4 linked regions of the Drosophila melanogaster genome follow. The gene in region 1 interacts genetically with each later gene. Each region holds a gene or a part of one and is shown on either strand. Other genes may lie near its edges. The genes, in order: trio, ena, PlexB and fra.

Region 1 (4,864 bases):
ATGTAATCCCAGTTCCCCCAATAGACTTTGATGTTCCCACACGTATCGAAACTTAACGAATTACTTTCGGAATAGGATGTAATATAAGCAGTGGCAAGAGTTAGCGGCTAAATCTCCTGGATATTGTGTATCTTTGTACGATCTGGATCAGCGTCCAAGTCCACGTCCAAAACTCAACATTTTCTATAAACTTTAGTGCAAACTTTATGTTCAAATTAACTTTAAATGTCGAAATGAATGTTCTAATTAATCGAAGAAAACAAAAAACATAAAAACTTAAAAACGGAAAACCGAAACGAACAAAAAGTATTTTATAAAAACATTGAAAAGTAACCCAACCTGAAAGTCTTCTCATTGCTTACCAAACCGTTGTCTTGAATCTTGATTCTTGATTTTGCATTGCGGTTTGGCTTAGTGTTTATTGGGCATATCTTAGTGGAAACTGGAAACTGGAGACTATCCTTGCAGCATGCATCTCTCAAAGCACAAGAGGCACGGCCTCTGCCACCGGCTGGTTGATCTCCTGGTGGCGTTGCAGTAATCCCAAGCACTGGTGCAGGCACTGGGTGCTGGCCGTGGAGATCGCCTTGAGCAAAAGAAGATCGGGATCCGTTGGCGAGAAGGAAGCGCAGTCGATGCTCTCGATGGCCCTGGCCAGAGAAGCGTTGCTGGAAGGGTTTGGGGATAGATTTATAGATTGCAGGAGGTAATGCGGCGTTAGCTACGAATCACTGTGCAGTTACCATTGTTCCGTGAGAAACAGAGCTTGGCGCGCTGAAACCATGGCATCGGAGGCGGCAAGCAATTCCCGCGGAGGAAGCGGCGACGAGTTGCTGATGTCCATCGCCTTCATGTGACTCTCGACCACCGCCCGCAGGCCATCCACCCACTCCTGACGGGCCCTGGCATCGTTGGCCCTCAGCTTTACCGTATCGCCGGAGGCGCAGGCGATGGCGAACGTCCTAGAGTCCTCGTCACTCGGGTACACCACTGCGCCGGCCAGCTGCACCTGGCCCCTGGGAGCACTGGCCAGGACGTGGGGCGAGGGCGCGATGTCGTCGCCCACCGTCGACGAGTCGCACAGGTAGTAGCTCAGCGATCCTGTCTTGGCGTCCACCGTAAACCAACGGTACTGCCATCCTGCAAAGTGGATGCTGCGATTAGGGAAGCGGTTCTAGCGGGGATTCTATGGGATGGAGAGCTTGAAGGTGCTGCTCCAAAGGTGAAAGTTTGCTCACCCTTCATCACATTGGTGTATTTGCTGAGCTGACCGCAGAGTTTCAGTTTGGCCGATTCACGAATGATCCTGTTCAAGTTGCTCTCCATTTTGGCGGCGGCGTCCTTGGGATCGGGGCGCACTGGGGGCGTGGCCTGCCGTGGGCGGTGCTTCTTCTTGCGCTGGCGAAGCGAGTTCTTGATTTTGCGTAAAATGTTTGCAGGTATATTAATTTGATTCGGGTTTATTTGGTAAAACTCGGCAGAAACGGAAGCTAATGAACAACAGACAGTGTTGTATCAGCGAGCTTATGCTAGCAGGCGAGCATCGATAGTAGTACAATCGATGCCTGTTATCGTAGATAGTTGGTATTTTTACATATTATTTAAAAAAAGTCAAAATATTTAATATTTAATCATAGGTATCATTTTGAGATAATCATGAGCGTAACTATGTAGACTTTTTTAAGAAAAACTCTACTCAATTGCGATGCCTTATGACTATCGATTATTAACACCTATCGAGGCACGCAATCGGTGTGCTCGATTAAAAAAGGCTGAAAATTCAGTTTGTAAGCCGTTTCGGCATCTGGTCACACTTGTCGTTTCGCAAAATCCAATTTGTTTAAACAAAACAGAGAGCGCCCGTTCGTAAAATCGCGGTTTCTTGAAAAATGAAAATTTTAGCTTAGCCCGCGTCAAGTCGCGAACTGCGTGCAACGGTAACTTGGGTGATTTTACCGGTGGGAAAGCGTGTGAAAAACAAAAGCAGCGCGAGTGAAAAAAATCAATTTGGTGGCACAAGCAGTGGCAAGAAGAAGAGCCAAGACGCAAGAGAACTGCTTGCGGATGATGTGATGATACAGATATACATAGCATATACATATGTATATACAGGCTATATATACGTCTGGAGTTTGTGTTCAAATTGAGGCAATTAAAACATAGCGGATTTTCGCCCGTTCGCAGTGGCGAATGTTGTGTTGAGTGTGTATATTTCCAAATAATGTTTCAACTTGTGTGCCTGCCTGCGCGAGTTCTATTTGATGTTTTTATGCTGCGTGTGATTTATGACATTTAACGGGAGTACATATGTATACATGTGTGCACATGCCACATACACATACGCATATGTATGCACCCCCATGCGAGTGTGTGTGTTTGCCCGTCTGTTTGTATCTCCCTCTCACTCCCACACGCACGAAAGTGCGAGGGTGACTGAAGAAAAAAACTCCACTCCTTGCATCTAAAAATAGGAAAACTACACAAATTGTGTGCAAATTATGTGTAGCATTTAGAAAACCAAGTGAAATACCCATTGCTAATCTGCATCTCTGCTTCCCCACTCATTTTCCACCCACACACACACACGCACACACGGGCAAACACACGAAAACCGCAACAACACAAACACAACAGCAAAAGAGTGACCATGAAAATGCCAGCGAGAAATTTGCGAAAATCAATGAGCAAAAGCAGCGGTTCATAATAATAACTAATAACAGAGCCAAAACAAGTGAAATTCGAGGCTGGAATTCGTTATGCTGCAGTGCCCATCGTCGGATTAAAAAACGGGCGGAGACCCCCCAGTTTAACCCCTCCAGTGATTAACCCCCGGCCGCTTTAACCACCCCTCCCCCTTCCCCTGCCGACGGCATGGACGGCCAGCGGGCCAGGGATCTCCTGACCCTCCTCCAGGAACGGGTCGTCTTCCTCACGGGCGGACGGGACCGGCGCGGCGGACCGCTCCTCTGCTTCCCGGCCACGCCCCGTCGCGATCGCCTCAAGCCGGAGGATCTGCGGCGTCTCCTCAGCTACCTGATCAGCATTCCCAGGTGAGGATGTAGTTGCTACTACCACATAGGAATAGCCATTTAGTTAGTTAGGTTCTATTGACATCCAATTGGATCTGGGCAAAGGTCGTCCATCTCAAAATTGTCTATGTTATAACTATATTTATGTTATCTATGTATTACGAAAGCACACGTAGAAGTATAAATATATTAAAATACAGCAAGATAAATAATTATGAACATATTGCCGAGAAAAAAAAGAGTGCAGCTAATTCTTAATCTATGCCTGCACTTTATTACGTTAAGTTATTGTTTGATAAGCACTAGCCATGATAATAATTTAAAATTGCAATAATATGATAACACTCAGCAAAGTAAAGAGGACCATTTTCATATTTTGTACATTTAAATATGTTGCTTTTCTAGATTTCATCACAAACTAATTGGCTTAATTCGTAGCATAGACATTTACATTTTTATAGACTTTTTGATTTACGAGCTATAAATAAAGCATAGAAAATTCTTGGAACTTATAATGACTCACCCAAATCATCTTGCACCTAATTAAATTTTACACTTTTCATCTTGACATATACATTCTATATATGTATATTTGATCAACTTTTCTTTAAAAACGTCCAGCTTAGTTAAGTGCACTCAAAGTGGATTGCATGACTGCCAGCTTTAGTTACAATTTAGATGAATTGAAAACGTCAAGTTCTTAGATATTTATACTGCAATGTTGCCTTTGGCGGCACAAGTCCAAATTTCTCCGGCCTCCTGCATTTTGTATTTACAGCACAGGGAACTCTCGTTAGTAAACAACTTTTTCGGCTTGGAGACTAATCACGAGTTTGTAGCTTTTAGAAATCGTTGTAAATAGCATCTTCGATCTTTAGTTATGTAGTTTATTTGTATTTCGATCTCTTGTTAAATTCCGAATACCACGCAGCTGCGGTTTCGCGTTACTGGGGCCTTACTGTACCAGTACAATGGCAACCCATTGTGTCAGCTGACGTCGCGACATCGCTGGCTGCGCTTCGTTTGCAATTTCGGAGGAGTCGCGACGTCGTCGCCTCACCCGCACCAACATATATATATCGTATATATATATATTTTGAATAGGGGGAGGATGCAGGGGTGCTCGCGAGAGGGGGAGGAGGGGGAGAGCAGCTGCTGCAGCTGCATTGCCACATTCCACTTGATTTTCCTGTTATAGTCGTCGTTCGCCTGCAGTCGCATTTTTATGAATCATCATCGTTCGACGATTGCAAGAACAGCACGCACATTGTTCTTGGCTCGCCCTCTCTTTCTCGCCACATATGCCCATCTCTCTCTCACTCAGCTGGCTGCTGTTGACATTGAATCGCCGAAGTGCGGGTCAAAATGGGTGGCACAGAGGGCCATGGCGGGCTAAAAAAGTCATAAAAGTAAACGTTCTCCAATAAAAACTAGCAGCAACAAAAGTTGCATAAATCTGTGCGGCGAAGAAAGCACCGAGAACAGAGAAGAAGAAGAAACAGCAAAAGAACACACAGATACAAACGCATACATACATACATATGTATGGGCAAAACCGGGGACCGGCTTCCAAAGTCTTTAAGAGCCGAACTCGAAGAATGCGAATATTTTTTGCTGCTGCCCCAAAGACTAAAAAAAACCACAACAAAAACCGAAATGAGCCGTAAAACGAGAGGAAAGAAAGAAAGAAAGGGTAATTTGGGCGAACAGTGCTGCCTCGATAACACTGACATGCAGACATTTATAGCACTCTGTGTGCTTAAAGTAAAAGTGCGAGTCTAAATCCATTGTTTGCTTAATTAGATTGAACAATAGTTTTGGCTAACTCAACGATA
Region 2 (7,627 bases), on another chromosome or scaffold:
TCCCCCAGCACTTCTTGATGTTTGCCATGGGCAAACTGTTTTGAGTCTCCTGACTGCCTGGCAACCTACTTTGTGACTCCGCTGCTCACATGTGTGGGCCCTGTTTGTTTTTATGATTTTTTTTTTTCCAGTCCGATGTCTGCCTGCGGGTCTTTATGGACAGCCATATGGATTACTCCAGTACTCGCATTCGTAGTGCCCCTTAGAAATATTTAGTTGCCAAATCATTTAAGCCGCGGCACACGCTCTGGTCCAAAAAAAAAAAAAAACAAAACAAAAATGGTAAAAAAAAAAAACGAACTGAACCATTCTGACAGAGCCATTAAAGCTAGCCGGTAATCGGTTGGCTCAAATCAGAGATCGGTGAACCACCAACAGCCACTACACAACCACTTACAATGGGCCACAATAATGTTAATTGGAAATAACGTTTAGGAATTGTTGTGGGGCAAAAAACCGAATCAGACTGAAACATAAGCCAGCGAGTCAGAAACAGAGGCTCAGATCTCTGAGAGCTGAGTGCTCCAAGTTGAGATAGACAATGTTGTATATGAATTTTTCATAACATGCTACAAGCTGTGCCTCCAGGTACCTCCCCCCCCCCATTTCCCGCCGCCGTCGCCGCTTTTCGCCGCCAAAGAACAGTTGAAATGAAGGAAACAAAAACGCAGCGAGCGAGGGAAAAATACTTGTAATAGTCACTCGAGGGGGAAATATAAATTATTGAGCTCGTTTCTTAAGTAATTATCGCACTGACGGACGGAACCAACTTACTGAATCACAAACACTGACCGAATGACTAACTGGCGGATGGACAGACTGACCAACTGGTTAAACGACGGTCACGAGACGTCGGCGAGGCTTCAAGATTGCCGGCAGAAAAAAGCCTCGGGCGCAACTTTGTAAGATTCGAGAGCTTATCGCATACCCTTCGAAACTGCATAAGAAATTTGAGATGGAACTTGCGCAATTTCATAGCTAGGCGAAAAGTTGTAAGGGTATGCCCTACAATTCATTGTATCATTGTAGCTCTCTGAAGATATTGCATATTTTAGGGAAACTGCTTGAAACTCTGTTTCAGTGCCTGAAAACTTCTCAAAATATAAACTTTTGAGTATTAAAATAAAATCGCCTTTCAATAATCTGAATCTTACATCCTTCCCTCAACGAAAATCGTGTAAAACGAGAACGTTTTTTCTCAATAGGTTCTATGCAGACTACTTGCCCTCACGTCTTTTAATTGTCATGCCATTTGGGAATCGTCTGAAGCGACTGTGAGTCAGGTTGTGGTCTCTCCATCTACCTGGCCATTATGCTCGGTTCCCAGCTCGGGGTCAATCCAGCTCAACATCCATAGCACATCTCATCATTTCTCATTATTTTATTGACTTTGAAGTGTAATTATTTGCCTTTTAGACGAATTCAAAGCGCAGCAGCCGCTAAAATGAGAGAAAAATACAGATTGTGAGCCGATACTCAGTTTCTCGCTCACGTCTTTTCTGCTCATTCGCCTTTAGATATATTTTTTTTCTCGGCTTTTGTTTGTCTTGGCCTCGACTGAGAGACCGTTTCGGTCTCTGAGACCCAGTCGCGATCTCGGTCTGGATCTTGGCTTTAGTCTCCAGCGGGTCTTGAGTGCGTTCAGACGTGTGCAGCTGAGATCTTGGAACGACGAATGGTGATCGGTGATCTCTGATCAGTGACCAGTGGGCAGAGAGCGAATAGCCAAGATCCAAGAGCCTAGGCAAACATAAATACGATACATCCGATCCGATCCGATCGTTCGGTTTCATAGTGTGCTTAAGTGTGGGATCGATCGTGGGATCTGTTTAGTGTCTGTGACGCCTCTGCAAATATTGGCCAACGGTTAATGGCCATGAAGAAGCTCTACGCGAAGACCTCGTTCACCAGCAAGAAGCCATCGAGTGCCGCCAATTCCACTCCGATATTGGCCTACCACCAGCAACAGCATCAGCAGCCGGGCAATGGCATTTGCGAGTTCCAGGTGGTGGCACCTGGTCACTCCGGTGAGCTAATGATACGCCGCAGCCAAAGTATGCACCACAAGATGTCGCCTCCAGTCGGCGGCCTGGGCTCCAAGTCGGAGTACTACAGCATTGAGGAGCTGCAGGAGCTGGATTTGCTGGACTATCGTCATCCCATGTACCATCATTATCAGCAGCAGGAGCTGAGGCAGCGCTACCATGAGCACGAGCAGTTGGTGCTGCAGTTACCCAAGGCTACTAGTCCAAAGGCAGGACCCATCTATGAGGCACCACAGAGATCTCAGCAGCAGCAGGATCAGATGTTGTATGTACCAACGGCAGCGCAAAGAGATTCATCATCAAGTGCTGCAGCCACATCTATAGCCAGCTCATCTACCCTAACTTCATCCCCATCGCCATCCTCCTCTTCATCTCTGATCTTTTCCACTTTGCGCAAATGCGTTTCGCCCTCGAATCCCTCGGTGAATCCGAACCAACCCTCAAAAACTCAACCCTCCAAACTGGGCTGTTCCATGTCGTTTTCAATTAGAACGACAACGGCAACAGCAGCCACAGCCGCAGCAGCAAATGCAGCAACAGCAACACTATCGACACAGCAGCAACAACAGCAGGCACAGCAGCAACACAAGCAACATCTCTATAGCAACATACATCATTATCTGATCCGACAACAACAGCAGAAACAACACTACACATTACAACGTCGCCATAATTCGGTCAAAGATAAATTCATTGGGGGCATTACAACGATTTTTGCGTATGTGTAACCCACTTCCCTATGCGTCTGTCCTTGGTTGGGTTCTGTAATAATTCCCATATTTCCCCACTTTTCTCTACTATACTTCTTCAATCTCAGCACGTAGTACTTGGCCCTGGACTTTTGAATGCGTTTTACAGCTTGGTGAGATCGTTCGTAAATCAAAGAACTCTTAACCCCCACAGAGCAGCCGCCGTCGTACTCTCCGGTTTAATCATAATTATAATTTAACGCCAATTAAGCTGGAAAACGCTATCGTGTGCACACGAATCTGCATCTTGCACTCGGCTGCAGTTTAAAAACTTAAGCTTAACGCACGAATAAATCCCCAAGGCATAGAAAATTTCACCTGCCACATATTGAAAATGCTCCCAAAGCGATTTTCCAGTGGCTCAATTATATTAGCATCCCATTTAACTGGCCATTTGCGGGGCACTTTTCGATTTTCATTTGGGTTTTCCACTCAGCTGCACAGCGCAAAAAAACGATTAAGATGTTAGTTTTTACTGAAATATTTAATTGCTTTCTTTAACGATTAAAATACTATGTATCACATGTGTCGATTTTACGATTCATGAACTCATTTCCATTTCTTTACAATCTAATGTAATTAAAACAGTCGTACAGTTCTATGATTGTAGCTTAAATCTCGGAATTGGCACGTTTAATAGGCACTTATTACGTGTAAAATCGAATGAAAGCATTTATGCACTGAATGTTAGTCACAAAATGCATTACTAATCCCAACTACTTTGCTGCTGCGAACTACTGAAATAATTTTAGTTGCATTAAAATTGTTTAAAAGAGTACAACACTTTTACAAAAGCAATTCTTTTGCTCACTCCGACTTCCTATAATTATTTTCGAATATGTAGTATCCAATTTATGAGATATAAATCGATTCGATTGTAAAAAACAGAAATTTAAAAAAACTGATTGACCGCTATTGTTTCGCAGTTTCTCATAGTGTGCAGAAAAAAAAAACTTCACTTTCGTTGCCACGAATTTCGATGCAAATCAAAGCGGACAGGCTCATAAGACTTAGCTCCAAACTGTCGGTGGTTATATAAGGCCCTGAAACGGCGCACAGCTGTGCCAGCCGCCAGAGTGCGACTCGGATTCGGATTGAGATTCGTCCGTCTGTCCAGCCGTCCGTACCGCCGATCTGCGCACTCCATTTAAGTGCAAAACTACTTGCGGCTTTTGGCCGGGCCAAGTCTGTAGCGAGAATACTGCCGACTCGACTCGTTTGGCGGCTGCTCTCCGTCATTATCTCTATGTGTCCCCCAGTAACACACAACTCGGAGCAACTTGGAGCAACTTGGAGCTGCTCAGGCAACTTGGAGCGGTGCAGGCTAGCAAAAACAAAAAAAGGGGCAGAGAAAAAAAGAAAAAAAAAAAGAACGGAGCTATAGGATAGAAAGAACACCACATAGCCAAGTTGAGCAAAAGGCAAGGCAACTCGTCATCGCCTTTGCATTTTTCCAATGAAGGCGTTCATTTGTCGCTGGCCATGTTTACTTCACTGGCTGACTTTAATTGTCAACTCAACTGAGTGTCCCGGGGGGAGAAAATGCTAAAGGTTGAATGCAGCATATACACGTTCATATTAGAACTTTCATTAGAATCATTTAATCGGTCCGTGCGACTCGAGACGATCATCTGGCTGGATGACAGGTGTGCGGGCATACAAAGAAATGCATTGCACTTCCTGTCCTGAAACCGATGGGATTAGAGGGGAGTCGAGGGTATACATAGATCAAAGCCCTTGCTCACTTGAGGCGTGTGAAAAGTCTGGAAGATCACGGTGCAGTAAAGTGCAGTTGAATGAGTTCTTCAAGGGGCAAATTGTAGAGCCGATCTAATGATCTGAAAACGACTGCTCATTGCGACATTCTTTCTGGGAAGTCTTAATCGAGTCTAAGAAGTTTTTTTTATTATGACGGAAAATCGATTTCTATGAATATATGTAGAAGCTTTCCATAGAACAATATATACTTTTTACTTCCAATCCCACGAAAGCCATCAATAAATTTGTATCTCTTTTATTGAACTCGTTTAGTGCAAATAATAAAGTTGCCAAATTTGACTAATTTGTTAGCACAACTTCCGTTTCGTTTCCCACGATCTTTTAAGACTTTAAAAGAGTTAACATCATAAAATGGAATTTTTGTACATACATATATGTTTCTCGCACATTTTCATATCTTTTCTTCTCAAGGCAAGGGCTATTCCCTATAATAAATTTTCAGCTCGAACTTCTTGAAGTGTGTTAAGTCCTCATCATTTCCATACACATTCAAGGTTCCATTCCATACCATTTAAGTCAGCCAACTAACCATAATATTCACACTTATTTCTTGCAGTGAGCAGAGTATTATCGGGGCGCGGGCCTCTGTGATGGTGTACGATGACAACCAGAAGAAGTGGGTGCCATCGGGCAGCTCGTCGGGATTGAGCAAGGTGCAGATCTACCACCACCAGCAGAACAACACGTTCCGTGTGGTGGGACGAAAGCTGCAGGATCACGAGGTGGTCATCAACTGCTCCATTCTGAAGGGACTGAAGTACAATCAGGCCACGGCAACATTTCATCAGTGGCGCGATTCGAAATTCGTTTACGGCTTGAACTTCTCGAGCCAAAATGATGCGGAGAACTTTGCTAGGGCCATGATGCATGCCCTGGAAGTAAGTATATCTCTTTCACAACCAATATCTGTATCATTCGCTAACATTTGAATGTCTTTCTCAGGTGCTCAGTGGTCGCGTGGCGAACAACCCAGGTGGACCGCCCACAAATGGCAATGGCTATGAGGAGGACATGGGCTATCGCACGATGACCAGCGAGGATGCAGCCATACTGCGTCAGAACAACAGCATAGGTGGGCACGTCACGCCCTCGGCCCAGACGCCCACCTCGCAGACCAACCAGAATAACATCCCCCAGAGCCCGCCGACGCCCCAGGGTCATCATCGCACCAGCAGGTAGGCTCCATTTCCATTAATTGTGTTGGATACGGCATGCTCATTGCTGTGGAAAAACCCATTAGCTTAGACTCGATTGATCTAACCATTCAAGAAATATTCAATTTTATGAGAATAAGTCATTAGCACATATTGGTCGGAAGGAACATCAGTTTTCTTTGAACATTATAAAGCTGAAAATCCGTGGTTGTTATAAATGAATCCTAAGATCAAAAATTTCATTAGTCTTCAGATGCAGATACATTTTCTTGCAAGATATGTAATGTAGGATACAATTGTAGGATTGCATTACGCAAGTTGGGAACAATTTCTATCCACTTACACATGAGCAGTAGGGGCCAACACTTTTATCCGAGTTCTCGTGTCTCATCTCTCATATCACTCATTGATCCATCCCCATCCCACGCCGAACCTTTGCTCACCCAAAAAGGAATTCCCTCAGCGCCCCACCGGCACCACAGCCCCAACAGCAGCAGCAGCAGCAGCAGGCGCAGCAAATGGGTCAGCCAGGATCCCACTATGGACCCACTGGAAATGGACCCACTTCGAATGGCCTGCCACAGCAGGTGAACTCACAGATTCCGCCGGCACCGCAGCAGCAGCCACAACAGCAACAGTTTCAGCAGCAGCAGCAGCAACAGCAATATCAGCAAATGGTCCAGGCGGGCTATGCGCCCTCTCAGGTGAGTTCGATATGCTATAACCTCACCCCGTCCCAGTTTCCTCATGCGGTATTTCTGTTTCATTTCATTGGCAAATTGGCTTGATCCTGAATCTGAATCTCCTGAAAACCCCGACACACCACCACCATCACACCCCAACAGCAGTATCAGCAACCCCACTACGTGCTCTCCAATTCTAATCCCAATCTAACTGTGCACCAATACCCGACACAGCAGGCGCAGCAGCAGCCACCGCAAGCGCCACAGCCGCCGCTCCAGAACGGTGGAATGTACATGGTGGGTCATGGTCATCTACCGAGCTCCGCGAGCGCCAACAGTGTTGTGTACGCCAGCCAGCAGCAGATGCTCCCGCAGGCGCATCCACAGGCACCTCAGGCGCCGACGATGCCAGGTCCGGGCTACGGTGGTCCACCAGTACCTCCGCCCCAGCAGCAGGCAGAGAATCCGTACGGTCAGGTACCCATGCCGCCGCCAATGAATCCGTCACAGCAACAGCAGCCAGGTCAGGTGCCTCTAAACCGGATGAGCAGCCAGGGTGGTCCAGGTGGCCCACCGGCTCCTGCTCCGCCCCCGCCACCACCCAGTTTTGGTGGAGCTGCTGGAGGAGGACCACCACCACCAGCCCCGCCACAGATGTTCAACGGCGCACCGCCGCCGCCAGCCATGGGCGGTGGACCACCGCCGGCTCCACCGGCACCGCCAGCAATGGGTGGCGGACCACCGCCAGCACCGGGCGGACCAGGGGCACCACCACCACCGCCTCCGCCGCCGGGATTGGGAGGAGCGCCTAAGAAGGAAGATCCCCAGGCAGATCTCATGGGCTCGCTGGCCTCCCAGCTGCAGCAGATCAAGCTCAAAAAGAATAAGGTAAAATATCAATTTATTTAATTTATACAACTTGACTAAGCATTGTATTACCGTTTATTTTTTATTTTTAGGTCACCACCTCTGCTCCGGAGAATAGCGGCAGCAGCACGTCCAGTGGCGGCAGCGGCAACTATGGAACCATAGGACGAAGCTCTAATGGCATGGCCTCCATGATGGACGAGATGGCCAAGACGCTGGCACGACGACGCGCCCAAGCAGAAAAGAAGGATGTAAGTCAACTTTGTTTAACTTATTCCATAATCAATATCTTAATTCGTTGGCATATTGCAGCCCGATCCTGAAGCCGAAGTGAAAAAACGCCCCTGGGA
Region 3 (4,805 bases), on another chromosome or scaffold:
AAAACTGGAAAGGTGGAAACTAATTTATAAAATCAAAAACGTTTTCCCGATGACAAGCGATTTGTTCTTAGCTGGGAATAACACTATTATAATAATAATATTATACTTATATAATTCCTAATAATTTGCTCCAAGCATACATTTTTTTTTTTGTAAAAAGAAAATTAAAATTAATAAAAAGTAAGTAAGTAAGAGCTGCGTATCATTGTGCCGTTTGATATTCCAAATTCCTAATAAATTATTCTCTTATTGAGTTGAAAAATATCCATGTTTGTCATTATATGTGTTGTAAAGATTATAGACAGTTTAAGTGTACACATTAACCTCTTTGGTCAATCTAATCTAACTTTTTGGTAAGAGATGGTTTATCTCTTTAGCATCTCTTATCGCAGCATTTTCTGCGGCAGGTCTGGTTATGTTTCGAGTGTTCACGTCGGCTGTTAACGGATTTTTGATACATTGTTGTTATGTGTAAACAGTTCTATTTATGTACTTGTACATGTTGCACAGCGCAAATATTGTCGATTAACCATGGTTTCCCGTGCTAAGTTTCGATGTGATGCCAACCAAGTATAAACTAAAGATCCTGTGTTATACCAAAACGAATTCGGCGTTGTCAAGATCGATGTTCCCGATTGCTCTTCAGTTCACAAAGAATTTTCACAGTAAATAATGTGATAGCAGCATAAGTTTCATTAACTATCGCTTTGAAATATAGTCGGTTAACCGAAGTACACCCTTGCAAAGTGACTACACAAATGGATTGATGAAGCATTTTTATAGGGGTCAATATCCAATGCTAAGTGTTGAAAAAAATCCACAAATAAAACTTCAATATCTGTAGTGGTTCCCTAATTTAACTTATATATTCGGAGAATAAATGAAATTGTATATACATATGTACGTATGACAGGATCAGAAATCTCTCTGAGAATATATAAAAATCGAATCTTCAATTCAGTCAAAATTTAAAACCCACCGATATAATCTATTTAGTGATACTTATTTAACTAAGTGTTAATAATTTACAGGTCTTAATGACGGTTGGTCTTAATTTACAGTTGTAGAGAAATTCAATAAATTATTAATAAGACAATTGATTAGCAAAATAGCCATTCGTTGGACAAATTTTCCAAAAATTGTTGAATAATAATAATCAAATTTTTTAAATTTATATAATTTTAATAGTAAAAAAGGTACATAAGTAAAATTAGTATAAGTATATACATAAATAGTCCCAAACACTACGTGGCGTTGAAGCCTCCATGCCATGAGAAACCCTTAATGAAATAATTTAACATTAAACATGTTATGATTTTAAAATAATTTTATAAAATTTTAGCCATCGTGCCACATAAATCAATGTTGTTCAAAACTTTGTGTAGAGATAGGTGGGTCTGTAACACTCGAATCAAAAACAATATTAAGATAAAAATAGCGCGCACGGCAAGTGTTGCATGGAAGAAGATGAGATCAATTTAGATTCTTTGGAGATTGCTCTTTTTAACGCGACTACCATTTCATTGATATTATTTTACAAAAATGTTCCTGGAACATTTTAGACTCCATCGGTGGTGTCTTCTTTCTTTTTTCTTTTAACATTAGCCAATTGATTGGATGTGGAATCAGAACTGAAAACATTTAAACGATATCTACATAAATACTTCCGAGGTTTTTAATGGTAAGCTTCCCTTTAATGTGCTCCTTGTGAATACAGCATTACAATGCCCTCTAGCTCGATAGTTCAATTTGTATGCGATAGGCTGATACAGCCGATACTAATAATCTGCTCTAGGACTGATAGTGTACACACAACGTTTGAGCGTTGCCTAAGAAGTTTTTTTTAAATAAATATTTGTTTACATTGACTAATCGATTTTTTGTGTTAAACAACCTTATAAAAAATGCGCTAAACCTAAAATAGCCAAATGGATCATTTTAATTTAAAAATATTTATGCACCTACAGTGAATCAGCGGCATATAAAATTAATTCGCATTAAATTCAATCGATATTAAAAAGTTTATATATTAAGGAGAGAGAATGTAGAGCTAAATAATAATAAAAATGACATATGGGGAATTGATGCCCAAACTCAACTACAAACTGATCATACACAAAACCACAAATAAATATGTTGCGAAAGGAATTGTATTGTGCAAACATTATACATGTTTTACATGTACTGTGTATTATTATCATACTCGGTTCTCAGCATTATTGCGTTAACTGCATTGAAGAACTGCCGGCTCAGGCGTTATCTCCCTTAAATGACATAGTCGCCCAGTTTAACTTGCCATCAATACCAGTTCAATCAACAGCTTCCAGCTATGGCAATCGATCAATTGGAAACAATATAGAAAGTGTTAGAGACTCTCAATCTAAAAATTATTTTACTCACATGAGCTTCGACTTTATGCACAATGTTTTGTTTGCGGGTGCTACAAATAAAATACTTAAACTTAACGAAAACCTTCGAGTGCTGGCCGAGGCTGTTACTGGGCCGTTACATGATTCCCCGCAATGTCACGCTGGAGGCTGTCCGGAAGATATTGAGACATCGCTTGTCAATAACTTCAACAAAATTCTAGTAGTAAGCTACGCTCACGATGGTATTCTCATAGCGTGTGGAAGCATTCGACAAGGTAAAATAGCAAACACATATCAAAATAAAAATAAAATACTTAAGTCGGCGACTTCGTATGGGACCGAAACTCCTGACATATCGTATTGGTTTATAGAAGTTATTGGTCATTTTTTGTAGTCATCGTAGAACAATGTCGCAGTGTTTTTGAGCTCCACATAAAAAAGCGGCGAATATAAGTAATTATTCAAAAGTGCGGAAGGAATATGATGATAAACAAAACAGGATTTTAAAATGTTATAAATTAAAAAATCTATAGTTGAACTCTTGAAACAATTTGGGTAGTATTAACGTTAAAGTATTAAAATAAAACAAGATAATATGCTATAGTCAAGATCTCCGATACTCAGCTAGTGTGAATGCGAACTCGAAATCGAAATTTCATCATTTTTCTGGGATATCGATAGATATTGGGGAATAAAAGAAGAAACAATTTGAAAAATGTTCAATAGTGTGGGCGTGACCGGTTTGGCGGCTTTAGGGAGTTAGAGTAGGCGTGGCAAAAAGTTTAAGCAACTAATAAAATTAAAAAAAATATTCTAAAATGTTTGCAAAAATATGGGCGGGCAGTTTTGGGCATAATATTACTTCAATCATGCGATGCGAATCGTCTTTAAAATACTTTTCAACGAATCAGTTAACAATTTTTACTGTTCCTGAAATCAATTCTGATCGAATAAACGAATTTACATATTTGGTAAGTTTTGGCCAATTTCGTAGCAATATGATGAAATTGCGCTCTTTTTTAGGAATATCAAATTGGAATATAACAAAAAAAAAACTGAAACTAAACAACTGAATCTAATGTGCATTTTAAATAATAAAAATGGATCATTTTATACATCATATTAAAATTAAAAAAATTTCATAAAAATAATACGTAGTAGAAAATAAAAATTTTTAACATAAATAAAAATATGAAAACTGTTTATTGCAAGTCATATGTATCTTGAGGCACGAAGTGCGGACACAAGCACTCAACAATCATTGCCTTATTAATTTTTCACACGTCGAAAGCTGAATACTCTAATGAATATAATAATATTATAAAGTCATTTTTGAAATTTTTTTTTGTGATAATATGTACATAGGTTTGACTCTTTCTAATCTATTTTCAAATAATAATAACGTTAAGGCAATGCAAAACAAGAATTTTTCGCATGGTGCCAATTGATCAAAAATAATATAGATTTAAAGTCTATGAACTTCTAAGGTGAAGGGCATATATTGTCAAATTTACAATGCATGAGCACACGTGTGCACACACACAGATGTCTGGTATCACTGTATGCGTAGAAAAGAGCTGTTCGTTGTAGCGCTCTCCGCTCTCTCGCTCTCGAACAAAAATTCGAGAGAGCCTGGAGCAACCTCTAGAGCCACGGCGAGAAAATCGTGGGCTAAGGACAGGCAGACGGACATGAGTAGATCGACTCGGTTAGTGATCAAGATCAGGATTTTTGATATTTTATAGGCTCGGTGACGTTCCGTTCTACATGTAGTATACATTTTTACTTTACAAGTTACGGGTATATCAAGTCCAATGGATACTATGACTTAGGTGTTATATTTTGTCCTTAAAATAGGTTTTAAAAAATTCCGCGATAGTAATAAAATTATCTTTATTTTCAGGAGCCTGCGAAATTTACAGCCTGCCACGTTTTCCGGCAACGCCCCAGTTTTTTGCAGTTCCATTGGCTGCTAACGATGAAAACGCGTCTACATATGCATTTGTAGGTCCGGCGAGATATGCGTGGAAAGAAGAGGATATTTTATATGTGGGGACAACATTTACGAATGTTGGTGATTATCGTCATGACGTGCCAGCCATTTCGTCCCGCCGACTTGATGATTTAAACTATGCTGAATTTTCAATACAGCAGTCAATTATAAATATCGATGTAAAATATCGGGATCATTTTCTAGTCGATTATATTTACGGCTTTAATTCTTCTGAATATGCGTACTTCATAATTGTTCAAAAAAAATCACATTTAGCTGATGAGGCCGGTTATGTAACACGCTTGGCACGCATTTGCATTACAGATCCTAATTACGACAGCTATACTGAAATAACTGTTCAATGCACTGCAACTGAAAACAATGTTGACTACAATATTGTAAGGGATGCGAAAGTAACTCCAGCCAGCCACAAATTGGCGCAA
Region 4 (4,979 bases), on another chromosome or scaffold:
GCCGAGATTTGTTGTCTGCCGACGCTAACTTAATTTAACTTACTTTGTTGTTGTTCTCTCTCACCGGTTTGCTGGCCATTGTTGTTGCTGCCAGGCGTCGCAATTTGCTGCCTGCGTCGCCTGTCGCCGCCAATTAAGTCGGGAAATGGCCAACTATTTTAGCCGACTGACAATCAAAGTGATGGAAATGCATACTAATAATAGTAAGCCCTGATTAATCAGGTTTTTATTAACAGAAAGTACTTTAAACTCTATCTATATACCTAATTTAAAATCAAACTTAATTGTATCCCTTCCAGAATATCATAACTCATGAAGTATCACTTAAGCAAATATTCTGAACTTCCTAATGGCTCTGGATTTAAAATCTTTGCCTTTATTAGTTCTACCCAAGTTAACAACTTTCTTAGGAAGCGATTTGCAGTGAAAGTCTTTAGTGCCATGAACAATGGATTTGCCAAGTTAAACGAGAGAACCTTTTATATATTTAAGCAATTTCCATGTCCGAAGTGCATGCCTTAATTTATATATTACCACACACAGGCTTAATTCACTTAAGCGCCTTTTCGTGTCGGCACCTAAAAGCTTTGAATGGGAAGAACATCCGAATCAGAATCCAAATCACCATCAGTCGCCGCGTTTTGTGGGTGCCCAGAAGTTGCCCAACTTCAAGCTGGCATAACAGATACAGGGATGCGGATGCACATACAGATACGGATACTCGAAAGACTCGGTAGCTCGGATTAATTAAAACTGAAAATTGCAGTGGCGTCTGGTGGGGAAATGTGTGTGCTGCTTTTAAAAAACCTGCAATTAGCAGCGAAAAATCTCCGGTTCTGGTAATTTGATCCAAGTCCTCGAAACTTGACCCACATTTTGTGGGCATACGGATGATACGCTAATGAAGGGAATTTCATTTCACTTATTTTTGCGGCCTGCCAGTCCAAAAAAAAATGCCTCCCCCTTCTTTTTCACCCCGTCGTTTATTTTTACGACGCTTTCGCTTAAGCGCTGGCATTTAATGTGAAATTTATCATTTCAACGCCACGCCCCCCACCCCACGCCCAACCAACAATTTGTCGGCCTTGGTCGGATTTTTTATTGCGTTCACATTTCTCCGAGGCGAAAAGTGATATGTTCATTTTTTCAGCCTTTAAAGTTCCTGCTGGTTGCTGGTCGGCGCTTTTAAAATGAGTGTTCCTTTGCCACATGCATTTTTTTAGAGCCACAACTTTTAACCACAACCTGTCTGCACGTCGGTTGCTCGGGGGTGGCAATCACTGGCCAACTGCAAAAAATGCATTTCAAACAGGAGATTTTCCCATTGGTTTGAGCATAAAGTTTTCTGTCAAAGGATTTTTCTGAAATAACGTACTTATGAACAAGATCAGTCGGGGAGAAAGTTGAGGTACATTTCGAAAGCCATTAAAATTTTTAAGTATTAATCTCCTGTGACTCTCATAAAAAGAAATTTGTGTAAAGTAAAACCGAAAATATGTGAAATTTTAAAATATTTAAAAATATAGGAGCAAACCTTTTGAATACCGATATAAATTCATATGATTAATATCCCAACTGCAAATGTCCTCGAAATAATAATGTTTGTTGCTTTTGATGTGTAATTGACTTTGGTCCTAACTTTTGAATTACGCGCCATTTGGAATAAATTGCTCAACTGACCTTAACGCGTTTTTGGTGATGTGCACTCCAGTATCGATTGCTTTTCAATGTCGATGACAGTCATTAAAATATATTATGATTACGTTAGTAAGAAAGCTGAGCACTGATTACTACGTTACTTATGGAAACCCCTTTGTAAAATGATAATGAATTTATAATATGCAAGAATAACATGGTGCGAAAGTCATTTCATCGTCATCGATAGTAGTGAGACCATCGATAAGCATCGATAGCGGATGTGTTTTCGCATCACCCGCGCAGCTAGGGATTTTTTCGACAGTTTCGGATTTTTTTTCGGTCGTCGAGGTCGTTGCGCGCATGTATACTCTTTAGTGGCGAGAAAACGCGTTTGCCAATAGTAAAATCCATCGCAAAGAGGTAGAAAATTAAAATAAGTGCAGCCAAAATCGAAAATAAATGAAAAAGGCACTCAAATAATACATACAGCCGCTGAAAATGTGTTTTAAATAGAACTGCAGCTGCAAGTCCTGATGCCTGCCGAAGGTTAGAGCGAGACAACGCTACTTACTCGAGTGTGTGTGCGCAATTTGTTGATAGTATTTTCTGTTGTTGTAAAAATGCCCCGCTTGCAAGCGTGCAATAACAGCAACAACAAGACCTGAAACAACAACAATAGGCGGCGAATGCCGGCAAAACAAAAACGCGTAAACGATTGATGCGAATAGCGTAAAACAAGAGAATCGAAAGCAATAATCGCCCAAGAATACACAACAAAAGTGGAGTGAGTAAAAGTCGCGTGTGAGTGTTTGCGTCGCGTGTATGTGTGGGTGCAAAGGATACAAATAGAAGGCGCAATCGGCGATTGGCGGGTATCAAGAGCCAAAATGTTGTAAACAAATCGCAAAAGTCCAAATAAACCTGAGCCATTCGAATTACCTCCGATCGCAAACGACGGTTTCCAGCCAAATCAGCGAAAAGCAAACAGAATATGGCCATCACAACAAACAGAAGCAGCAGGACTTTGTGGAACTGGCTGCTCAGCAGTTGTCTCATATTCCAGCTGATTGGCAGCAGTTTGGCAAGTCAAGGTGAGAACTTCAATCTGAAATGATAAATATTTTGCACCAAAGTGCCGTAAGAGGGCTTTATAAAAATGTAGATAGTTTCTATCTTTCGCTGTGCAGGTTGTCAATTTATAATTTTAAACCAAAGACCCATGAAATCCAAGCTTAGTTGCTTACACAGAAAGACATTATCAAATTGTGTACATATATAGATTATTAAAGAGATTATAAAAGATATAAAAAAAATTTTATGAACATGTGATTGAACTTTAATTCTTGGGCTGCGCCTTAATTGCCTTCTGACAGGAGGAAATAATCTAAAACAGTGTATAAATTCGGTAGATTAGATGAGTTTATATCACTTCAATAAATATTACGATTAAATAGTACGAATAGATGAACTACGTGGTTTGTCAGCCCAGTAATTTTTAGTTCACTACACTCATCCACCATATTTTATGACACTATCTGTTACTTTACTCTTCGTACAATTCCCTATCTATGTTGTGTATTCGGGTACCATAAAGTTCGATATCTGTATTTTAACAAATATGAATGCAAGTACAGTTTTGGCGACTGGATGTCTGGTCGACGTGCCAGAAAGCAGGCATTGGGACCCACAAAAAAAAAAAAGCCTCATGTGCGAAAGGTGATGTCAACGGCGAACTGATCCGATAAGCTGTCATATTTCGCAACTCGCGCTCTTTTTGCACTCGTAAAATTGAGGTACTTTCAAAAACCCTGCCCTATTCCATCCACATGTGCCAATCACCCGGGGTAATTCACCGTAATTGCTTCCCATCATATCACCTGCAGATAAGAACTCAAAATGGGATGGTTGCGAAACCGATAGTGCTTCAAAACTTAAACATTACTAATGAGCTTCGCTTGAAACGAGATAAACTAAACACTGCACAACATGAATTGAAAACCAACGCACTTGTTTGCGATTATTTGAGCCAAAACAAACACGATTTCCTGTGAAAAAGTATTCTGAAATCGAAGAAATAGAATCCAACAAAATGGTAGCCGTAAGAGTCATTATCATTAGCTCAAAGCCAGGGAACAAGTGATCTTAGGGGATCAGGTAGGTAAGCGCAGGTAGAACCAGTGCAGCCCAAAATGCAATTAGGTTTTAGGATCAGGCACAGTTTCAGTTTTAGGTCCCAGAAGAAGATTACCCAAGATCGGTGGGCAGCTGCACAATGCATCAATTGATTGATTTGGTTTGAAAACTAAGCCAGGGGTGGCTTAGAGGCTTATCATATTTCCATTTTCGGCTGGAGAAATAAACAATCGCGTAAAATGAGGGAGGGATAATGGAAATCCCCGCAAAAGGCGCAAATAATGCAAACAAATTAAATGTCCTGCCGTGAATCTCGTCTCTGCGCCATCTTCGAAACGAGAAAGAAAAGCCACCCCTAAAAGTGAAAAGTGTCCTGGAAAAACGGGGAGCCGCCTTATCAGCTGCAAAATTTATCAACGCCAGCTCCAAGACAGCCCGAAAAAGGACCCCAAAAAAAGTGCGGTCGTAAAAAATTGTCGGGGCATGTCATATGCAAATGGAATGAAAAATCTTTGAACAAATTTTTAGGTCATGGCATGTCATAAGTCGCAGGACTTAATGCCAGATTTAATTAAAAGCATTCCCTCACATAACTTCAAGCTTTATGTGGTGGGTATGTAATTAAAAAAAAAAGAAAACAACTTTACTTACATGGGTGTAACTAGCTGAAAAGAATTGTGTGACAACAATGGACTCACGTGGCTTCACGACCACTTAGTACCGTATAATAATGCATCAATTAAGGTTGATAAGATACTATGAAAGTAAGACAAAGTTAGACATTTCCGTGTTAGTTAAATTAAATTATAGAAAAGCATTTTAATAATTTATTTTGATCTTTAGATCTATGTGGCCTTAAGACACCCTTGTGGTTTTTTCTATCTTGCTAAACAAACTAGTTGATTTTATAGAAGGATCCTACTTATACCGTGTACGAAAAACTCACGTGCGAGGTCCTGTTCCCATTTTCGTGCTTATTTGTGGCGCTCTGTGTTTTCACTTTCCTGGTCATATTTCCTCGCTCTTTAGCCCGTGAATTGTGGCAATTGTTTGATGTTGTCCTGGGCGAGTCGCCTCACCCTGGCGTTCACTGGCTTTTTCCCGTGGCCAGGAGCACATTTAGCCGCATTACGTGATACAATATATGAGTGACATGTTATTCTAATTTCGCACCCCTTTTCATATTCCTGGACACATTTTTTCCGCTC

The links.
Region 2: of trio (region 1) and ena, changing one suppresses a phenotype caused by changing the other (phenotypic suppression), as found in Drosophila melanogaster (one study listed by BioGRID).
Region 3: of trio (region 1) and PlexB, changing one enhances a phenotype caused by changing the other (phenotypic enhancement), as found in Drosophila melanogaster (one study listed by BioGRID).
Region 4: of trio (region 1) and fra, changing one enhances a phenotype caused by changing the other (phenotypic enhancement), as found in Drosophila melanogaster (one study listed by BioGRID).

The regions. Positions count from the first base shown.
Region 1 is NT_037436.4:1,031,836-1,036,699, reverse strand, and holds the start of trio (trio), read left to right. Parts: upstream 1-1,824; 5' UTR 1,825-2,202; intron 2,203-2,634; 5' UTR 2,635-2,871; coding exon 2,872-3,050; intron 3,051-4,864. Other genes in the region: CG9205 (uncharacterized protein), read right to left, coding at 479-668, 744-1,140, 1,239-1,326.
Region 2 is NT_033778.4:19,153,605-19,161,231, forward strand, and holds the start of ena (enabled), read left to right. Parts: upstream 1-1,616; 5' UTR 1,617-1,870; coding exon 1,871-2,763; intron 2,764-5,129; coding exon 5,130-5,451; intron 5,452-5,515; coding exon 5,516-5,748; intron 5,749-6,178; coding exon of another isoform or gene 6,179-6,190; coding exon 6,191-6,431; intron 6,432-6,572; coding exon 6,573-7,298; intron 7,299-7,369; coding exon 7,370-7,528; intron 7,529-7,589; coding exon 7,590-7,627. UniProt on the Drosophila melanogaster protein: Functions, together with Abl, trio and fra, in a complex signaling network that regulates axon guidance at the CNS midline. Required in part for robo-mediated repulsive axon guidance. May be involved in lamellipodial dynamics.
Region 3 is NC_004353.4:40,753-45,557, reverse strand, and holds the start of PlexB (plexin B), read left to right. Parts: upstream 1-1,779; 5' UTR 1,780-2,133; coding exon 2,134-2,644; exon of another isoform or gene 2,645-2,784; intron 2,785-4,272; coding exon 4,273-4,805.
Region 4 is NT_033778.4:12,527,098-12,532,076, forward strand, and holds the start of fra (frazzled), read left to right. Parts: upstream 1-1,955; 5' UTR 1,956-2,629; coding exon 2,630-2,729; intron 2,730-4,979.